2 linked regions of the Bombyx mori genome follow. The protein of the gene in region 1 interacts with the protein of each later gene in a pairwise test. Links are inferred from orthologs where the notes say so. Each region holds a gene or a part of one and is shown in the gene's direction. Other genes may lie near its edges.

Region 1 (3,835 bases):
ACAAACTATATAAGTAATTCCTTAAGACTGCATCGAGAATAGTCATAATGTTACAACATTACTGAGCTGTGCAATCATGTAATTATTGTAAGTTTGAAATAGAAATTAAAAATATCGCTATTCTTATACAGGAAGTGTCTCAGTAGAGCAGCTTAGTTTTAACATTTATAGCTATGAAAGTTAAGATCTAACAGCGGTGTCTCCTCATTACCACGGCACGCTTTGAAGACACTCCCTCTTCTCCTGAACAGCTTATTGACGACGTTACATTCAAAGGAAAGGTTGTAAAATTTTCCGAGCAATTGAAATGTGGGCGACAAATCGTGATTCGTTCCGGGAGTACTAATACTTTGATGTGCGTTTGGATTCGGCGACAATCATCGGAGTCGTTTGTCAGTCGATACAGGCCGCGGTCGCGCTTGTACCGTTCTATGCTCGTATTGGAACTCTTCAAAGCATACACATACATCAATCATATTACGTTATTGAAACTTTACTTGAGATATAATTAAATAAATAAACAATTTTATATGTCCATGTGTATATGTGTGTAATTGTAGATGTCCATGGGCTCCAGGAACCACTCGTACGCTAACCAAGGCAAAAATATAAAAAAAAAAATTTTTAGCACCACTGGAATACCCGAGGAAGACGGGCCCATTTTGAAGATTGTACTTAAATAAAAGTGATAATCGCGTTCGTGTTAATAACAGATCTGTGATGTGCTGGGGATGGCCACGGCACAGATGAACATCAACGACCTCCGCAAGGTGCTCGGGCTCCCGCCGCTCGCCGAGACCGCCGCAGCTCAGCCCGCCCCGCCAGACCAAGCCGGCTCCAGCCAGACGCCCTTCAACGCCCTTCGTGTGAGGAGGCAGAGCATGGAACAGCTGTCCCTGATACAAGTAATTTCTTCAATACTTTTTTCTTCAAACTTTGCACTATTTTGTCATATAATTGTTGCACGGTATCCTTAATGTATCAGTTTTACTGGTGGTAGGATATCTTGTGAGTCCGCGCGGGTAGGTACCACCACCCTGCCTATTTCTGTCGTGAAGCAGTAATGCGTTTCGATTTGAAGGGTGGAGCAGCCGTTGTAACTATACTGAGACCTTAGAACTTGTATCTCAAGGTGGGTGGCGGCATTTACGCTGTAGATGTCTATGGGCTCCAGTAACCACTTAACACCAGGTGGGCTGTGAGCTCGTCTACCCATCTAAGCAATAAAATAAAAAAGCCTCTGTTTGTCGTGAGGTAAGTGTGCTTTTTGACTTAAGGCTTAGGATAGTCATTGTTCAAATGCAGTTAGTTGGGTGGCGTTGACCGGTTGATACAATGAACACCTACCGTTTAATACATAGCAATATATTAAAGTATATTCATTATATTAAGATACACAAAACGAATTATCATAAATTATTAGATTCCAACTAAATAATGTATAATACAGTTGACACCCGACGGTAAGAAGGACCCCGAGGACGCCCAGAAGAAAGCCGTGCTGATGCGTTCGGAATCCGAAGACAGCCCCATGGAGTCCTTCCTCGATCTGCTATCCAAATACCAATCCGAGAGGATGGATGAGCAGCGAGCCACCCTCGTGGAGACCAAAGAAATCCAAGAGACTCCCAAACCAACTGAGAAGCCGAAGCCCAGCTCCAGCAAACTGTTCCGCTCTTCCAGCAGCGGCAGCAAGCAGTACGAGTAAGTAATGTTACACCTATCTCATGTTACTCTGTATGTTACTCTGTGTGATGCCATCCAGGCTTCCCTCTGGATTGTCACACTTGAATAACTTTCAGGATAATTCGGGAAAGTAACTTATCCGACTAACCGTTTGTCTCACTCACTAGCCCACGGACGCTTCGGACATGCAGTGGCACCTCTAGGTTCTTATAACTATTTAACATGCGTATAGTCTCGTCTAAAGTAACAATAAAGATCTTAGTGGTTTGGTCATTTGAAAATACGCGAAAACGCGTCGAAAAGCGTACAAAGTTTGAGGATTGATTCATGCACTTATTATATGTACTAACCTCGAGGAGCTACCTTGGTTTGAGGCTCAGTCTAAGAGAATTTGCTAAAATTTGGTTTGGCAAAAGAAGTGCTACCACCGGATCGAAGACGCGACCCACTGAGAAGATCCGACAAGAAACTCAATGGGCTGTCTGTGGGTTAGTTCACTGGTCGAACTCTTTGTTGTCATCGACGACTTCGACGAGAATGGTGACCGGTGCTTGAGGCTCCTATAATCACCGAGAATGAATCTGGGAGATCCGACAAGATACGTTTCGGGTGACGCCGGCTGTGTGTATTGCGCGGTCGCCTGAGTCGGATATATATGTAGTTAGCGGCTCACACGATAAATGAGTTATCGTGGAATTTCTACCTTTAACTCTATCAGCTTCTAACTATAGTCTATTTAAAAAAAGTAATTTAATACAACGAATGAAATGTAACCTTTCCATGAAAATGTAAGAATAAACAGTAGATATAAAAAAAAATACAAGTCGCAGTTTCAAGATGCTACTTTCTAGTGCTTTTGAAAGAATAACGTCTACTTAAAGCTTAAAATGTTCACGGGACTTCAGTACTGGCCGCTGCACAACTTGTCGATAGGCTGATAAGAATGCAACGTAATGCAAAAAGGCCTATTACTTTCAATGGGACGCGGAAGATGATGATGATTGTACCTTAAAAATTAACTCGATGATTTATTTCCATGTGTATTTGTTAGCTCTGCCTGGAGGCTCTGAATATCAACAGACAAATCTCGCACCACGGATCGAACGTACAAACGATACGTTGCAAATAACTTATAGTTCGGCAAAACCTTTCACTTAAACTTTCTTGATCGTGTCGGATGCAACTTCCGTTTTCGAACTTAAAAAAACAATTTTGTTTTGAATGTACAATAGTTAAGTAAGTCAAACACTGCACTGCTTGTGAAGGACTTTGTTGGCTCGGAAGCGATTTGTTGTATTGAGTACACTCGACGGAAGAAAGTTTTTGCCCCCGCTTTATATATACACTTTCCTTTTATATTTGTCACACCAAACTTTGACAGCAGGATTGCGATCTACAAGTACCTACTACATCTAGGAATAAGGGGAACGATTTTGTGAGAAAGCAAAGGTTCGATTACGTTGTGGTTGAATACTGATATGCCGAAATATCAGCAAATTACTATCGCTTTATAAAATAGTGTACCTGGCCCTATCAATTCGTAATTATATTTAAAACTTGATCTACATATTTAAAGTTGTTTCCGAGATGCACGAAACATGTTTAGACGTATATATGATCTATCGTGTCTGACTATATCAGAGTTTTACATAGGAGACAATTATTCGGGAAAAAAATGTGCCAAACACGTCACATTGAATAACGAACGGTGCGAGAAACTTATGTGGAGTATTAACAGCACGTATACTAAATTTCAATACCATCAGGCAAATGGTACGTCACTCATAGAACAGGAACAAACTTACAAATGAACTTAGGAAGAGTGCGACTTGAAAAACTGTCTATTTCTGTTGCATCCATCGCTTAGTGCGACTCAAACATTGAAATTGTGACTATTGGGTTCTGGTAATGCAATCGAAACTTCGACGTCCATCTCTCATCTCCTCGCTGCGGGCGGCGGCGACATTTACGTTTTTTCTTGCGGGAACCGCTTAACGCTAATCCCCTCCTCGTTTCTACCTAGAAAAACTGCGGAGGGAATTCATTTTTGAACTAGAATTTGCGACGGAGATAATAATTTTTAAAAAGCGCTCTACTTTATAGCTGGAAATAAATATTGAAGCGGACTTGCATTGAATGATGTGATATT
Region 2 (3,835 bases), on another chromosome or scaffold:
TCCTGTTGATATCAAATATATATATTATATGTATGTATAATAATTATTGATAATTTACAATGAGCTCAAAACTAGTTAATAATTTTATCTAATACAAAACGATATTTGAGTGAGCGTTGTATACTTAATATTATGATGTATTTTTTTTATTATTTTTTTTATACTTATTGTACACACAAAGAAAATACAATAAAAAAACAGATTTAAAGAATGTCTAAATACTATGTACAAAGGCGAGCTTAACTCATTCATGAGTTTTCTTCCAGCAAACCAATAGCAGAGTGAAATACGATGTATAAGAGGGGAATAGTGTACAATATAAAAGCTATTAAAGCATGATTTTTAAACTAAGCTTTAAAAAAAAAAAATCTAATATAAAATGAAAAATACATATAAATAAACATACATAAAACAATAACTTAAATACAATTAAAGTGACAGGAAATGTTTCTTCATTTGACTCGTAAAAACTTCTAGAGAGGAACTAGCACGAATAGGTTGAGGGAGAGAATTCCATAATCGCACTGCTTGTATTGTGATTGTATGAACGAATGCAGTTATTCAAGTATCTCTGTATTGCGTAACGAAAGCTTACACAGTTCCGAGCTACGTTTGAACGACTCGCTAATCCGATTAGCGCATCTCCTTTGAGATATCGGTTCACTAAACTCAAAATGAATATTCGCTCTGTTCGAAGATTCGAATGTACGATCGGATACGAATGTAGTAACAGTAACTGTGTAGAAATGGTATATTTTATTACCTAAAAAAAATCATTGTGAATTTAATACATGGTACATAGATAATTTTATTGCATGGACAAATCTATAAGTTAATTGCCTTATAACATTAAAATACGAAAGTTTTTCTATAAATAAATTTAATCGTCCTTGACATTTGGTTTATGATCGATCATACGGGTAATTTACAATTTAAAAAAAAAAACTTTATTCGAATATTCATTATTCTAATATTACGAATGGTCCTCCGGTAGTCGAAATTCGACTATAATTAATTGAAATTATAAGATTGTACACTATTATGATTCTATTGTCAAAGACTCTTATACTTCTATAATCACAGATTTCGCCAAGACTACACTTAGACAAATATTAATAAAGACAAACAATATTCAACCTATTCTCAACTTATCCACAGACTTTACCAATAAACAAAATCGTATATATGCGTATGTGTGTCAAATATATATTAGTGTGTAATGTTTTCTTTATTGATTTTTTTTTTTTTTAAATATTTGCGTTGTGCTGCACTCCTTCTCTATATTCTCGATAAGTGTGGGAAATTTTATATTCCTCCGTCCGCGCAATTTTCGTAAAAAGGGTTACAAAGATTTTGGTATTCACGAATATGGTTATTGCCTATCATTTATGTACAAAGTAGCTATTGTCGCTTAGTCACGTTTGCCTTTCAAGCGTCGATATAGATTAGTATAGAATCTATTGGTTTCTTTTTAACACTACGCGGTATTTGCAGAGCGATGGTAAGATGGTGTTCGACGTGATTCAACGGATGGAGGACACGGAACCGTTCAGTGAGGAGCTTCTCGCCGCGATGAAAAGGCTCTGGGCCGACTCTGGCGTTCAGGAGTGCTTTGGTCGTTCCAACGAGTACCAACTCAACGACTCCGCTAAATAGTGAGTACTTGAAGTTTTTTTTTATAGCTTAGATGGGTGGACGAGCTCACAGCCCACCTGGTGCTAAGTGGTTACTTACCCATAGACATCTACAACGTAAATGCCCCACCCGCCTTGAGATATAAGTTCTAAGGTCTCAGTATAGTTACAACGGCTGCACAATCCTTCAAACCGAAACGCATTACTGCTTAATCTACCTACCCGTGCAACTCACAAGAGGTCCTACCACCAGTGTTGTATTAGCATCAGATTGCGTGTGATCAGATTATTTGAAATAGGGTACCTGTTCATATTTGAGTTAATATTTATCGCAGTGTGGGTCGTTTTCAAATTTGGGTCCAAAAGCAAGTTATTTGATTTAATACCTTAATGTTACCGTAATTATAAGTACAGTAAATTTGTGGTCATGACAACAGGCACGTGGTCCTACAACTATATATTTTTAAACATTGTTCAATTAGGAGTTGTACATTAAAAACTACCCCAAATCTCATTCGTATCAGTGGTTCGAATTTAAAATTCTAACTCGTTTGCTATTTTTCCAGTAATGCGTGTTGAAATTCGGCAATTTTATTTAATCACTTTACTTCTATTCGCTATATTATTTTTGTCTAGTGAAACCCAGCGCAACAACTATCCCATTTAATTTGATTAGAAACTAAAGATGTACTAAGCTGGCCAAAAGTTAAACATCAATAAAAGAATACTACTCATTTCTCTTGTTCAATGTAAATTTGAGAGATTCATTCGGTATATATGTGGGCGTTACGCTGTAGGTCAGTTCAGGATGCCTCCACAATACGTTATATTTTTGAAATATCTGAAATAGAAATAGTCATTAGAATGTTTTTGTAATTTTGATATAAGTAGTGGTCCCGCAGTAGTTGAAATTCGACTTTAATTAATTTAAATTATAAATTTGAACATTATTATAGTTCTATTGTCAAAGACATAAACTTCTTTATTCACAGATTTCACCAAGACTACACTATAGACAAATAATATTAAAGATAAACAATACATATTAATTTATTCTCAATTTGACCAGACTTTAAATAATAAAAGTTTGACAATAAACAAAGTATACATGTATTTAAGTGTGTGTTTGTCAAATAGATGTTGTGTGCGTAATGTTTTTTTTATTGATTTAAAATGTTTTTTATGCATAATTTAAAAAAATATTTACATTCTGCACTCCTCTATATTCTCTATAAGTGTGGGAAATTTCATACTCCTCCGTCCGCGCAATTTTCGTAAAAAGGGGTACAAAGTTTTTGCTTCACGTATTAATATATAGATGTCTCGTAATTTGTATTACTAAATAATAATAAAAAATCAATGATTACCCTGGCCAGTAAAAGTTGCAATTCGACTTCGGCGAATCTCTTCCCGACGCACATCCGTCGACCAAATCCAAAGGGGAGTGACGCGAACGGGTGTATCCCTATTTCCTTCTGCTTGCGACAAACGTCCGACACTACTGTACGATCGCATGTTCTCGATATCTCGTCCGAGCTATGCCTCTTATCGAATTGATTCATCGCTTTTATGGGATATTGATCTTTGCCGGCAATATCGTTTTCTCGTAACCAACGTTCAGGCACGTATTCGTGCGGTGACGGAAAATATCGTTCTTCGTTCGATAATACATAGTGCGGGAACACTATATGAGTCTGGAAATAGGTATAGGTTTAGTGAAAACAACTCACAAGAGGCCCTACCACTAGTAAAACACAAATCAATATTAACTAAAGTATGGTTTAGTTATAGTTACTTCACTAGCTAATATTGAGGTTGAAAAACTTACGCCTTTTGGAACTTTGTAGCCAGATATGGTGGTGTCCGATTGAATGCATCGTCCGTTTCCCAAAATTACCGGTTTCATTCTAGAACATTTAAGTCGACTATTATCAAAGCCGGCAATGTGACTTTTGGACAATTATTGGTAAATCAGAAAAACGAATTATTGACTTTGTGTTCCATTGGCAGTCACAAAACTCTTCTGAACGACATCTTAGATAAATAACAGGTTAAGTATTAACCTTTATTTATTGCAGGTTTTGAACCGTATTCTTTGAAGGAGAAGATTATATTCAAATCAATTTGTATTGACATATCAATAACATTTTTTTGTCCAAATGCACAGATTGCCACCTTTGATAATAGACGACTCATTTAAT

The links.
Region 2: the proteins of G-protein-signaling modulator 2 (region 1) and Go interact in a two-hybrid assay, tested with the Drosophila melanogaster proteins (3 studies listed by BioGRID, with this or other methods). The link is inferred for Bombyx mori from reciprocal best matches to the Drosophila melanogaster genes pins and Galphao.

What each region holds. Positions count from the first base shown.
Region 1 is NC_085107.1:20,246,709-20,250,543, forward strand, and holds part of G-protein-signaling modulator 2, read left to right. Parts: intron 1-713; coding exon 714-905; intron 906-1,450; coding exon 1,451-1,704; intron 1,705-3,835.
Region 2 is NC_085125.1:9,507,935-9,511,769, reverse strand, and holds part of Go (G protein alpha subunit Go), read left to right. Parts: intron 1-1,494; coding exon 1,495-1,655; intron 1,656-2,052; exon of another isoform or gene 2,053-2,361; coding exon of another isoform or gene 2,362-2,475; intron 2,476-3,001; coding exon of another isoform or gene 3,002-3,328; intron 3,329-3,462; coding exon of another isoform or gene 3,463-3,541; intron 3,542-3,835. Other genes in the region: probable cytochrome P450 49a1, read right to left, coding at 2,362-2,475, 3,002-3,328, 3,463-3,541. UniProt on the Drosophila melanogaster protein: Guanine nucleotide-binding proteins (G proteins) are involved as modulators or transducers in various transmembrane signaling systems.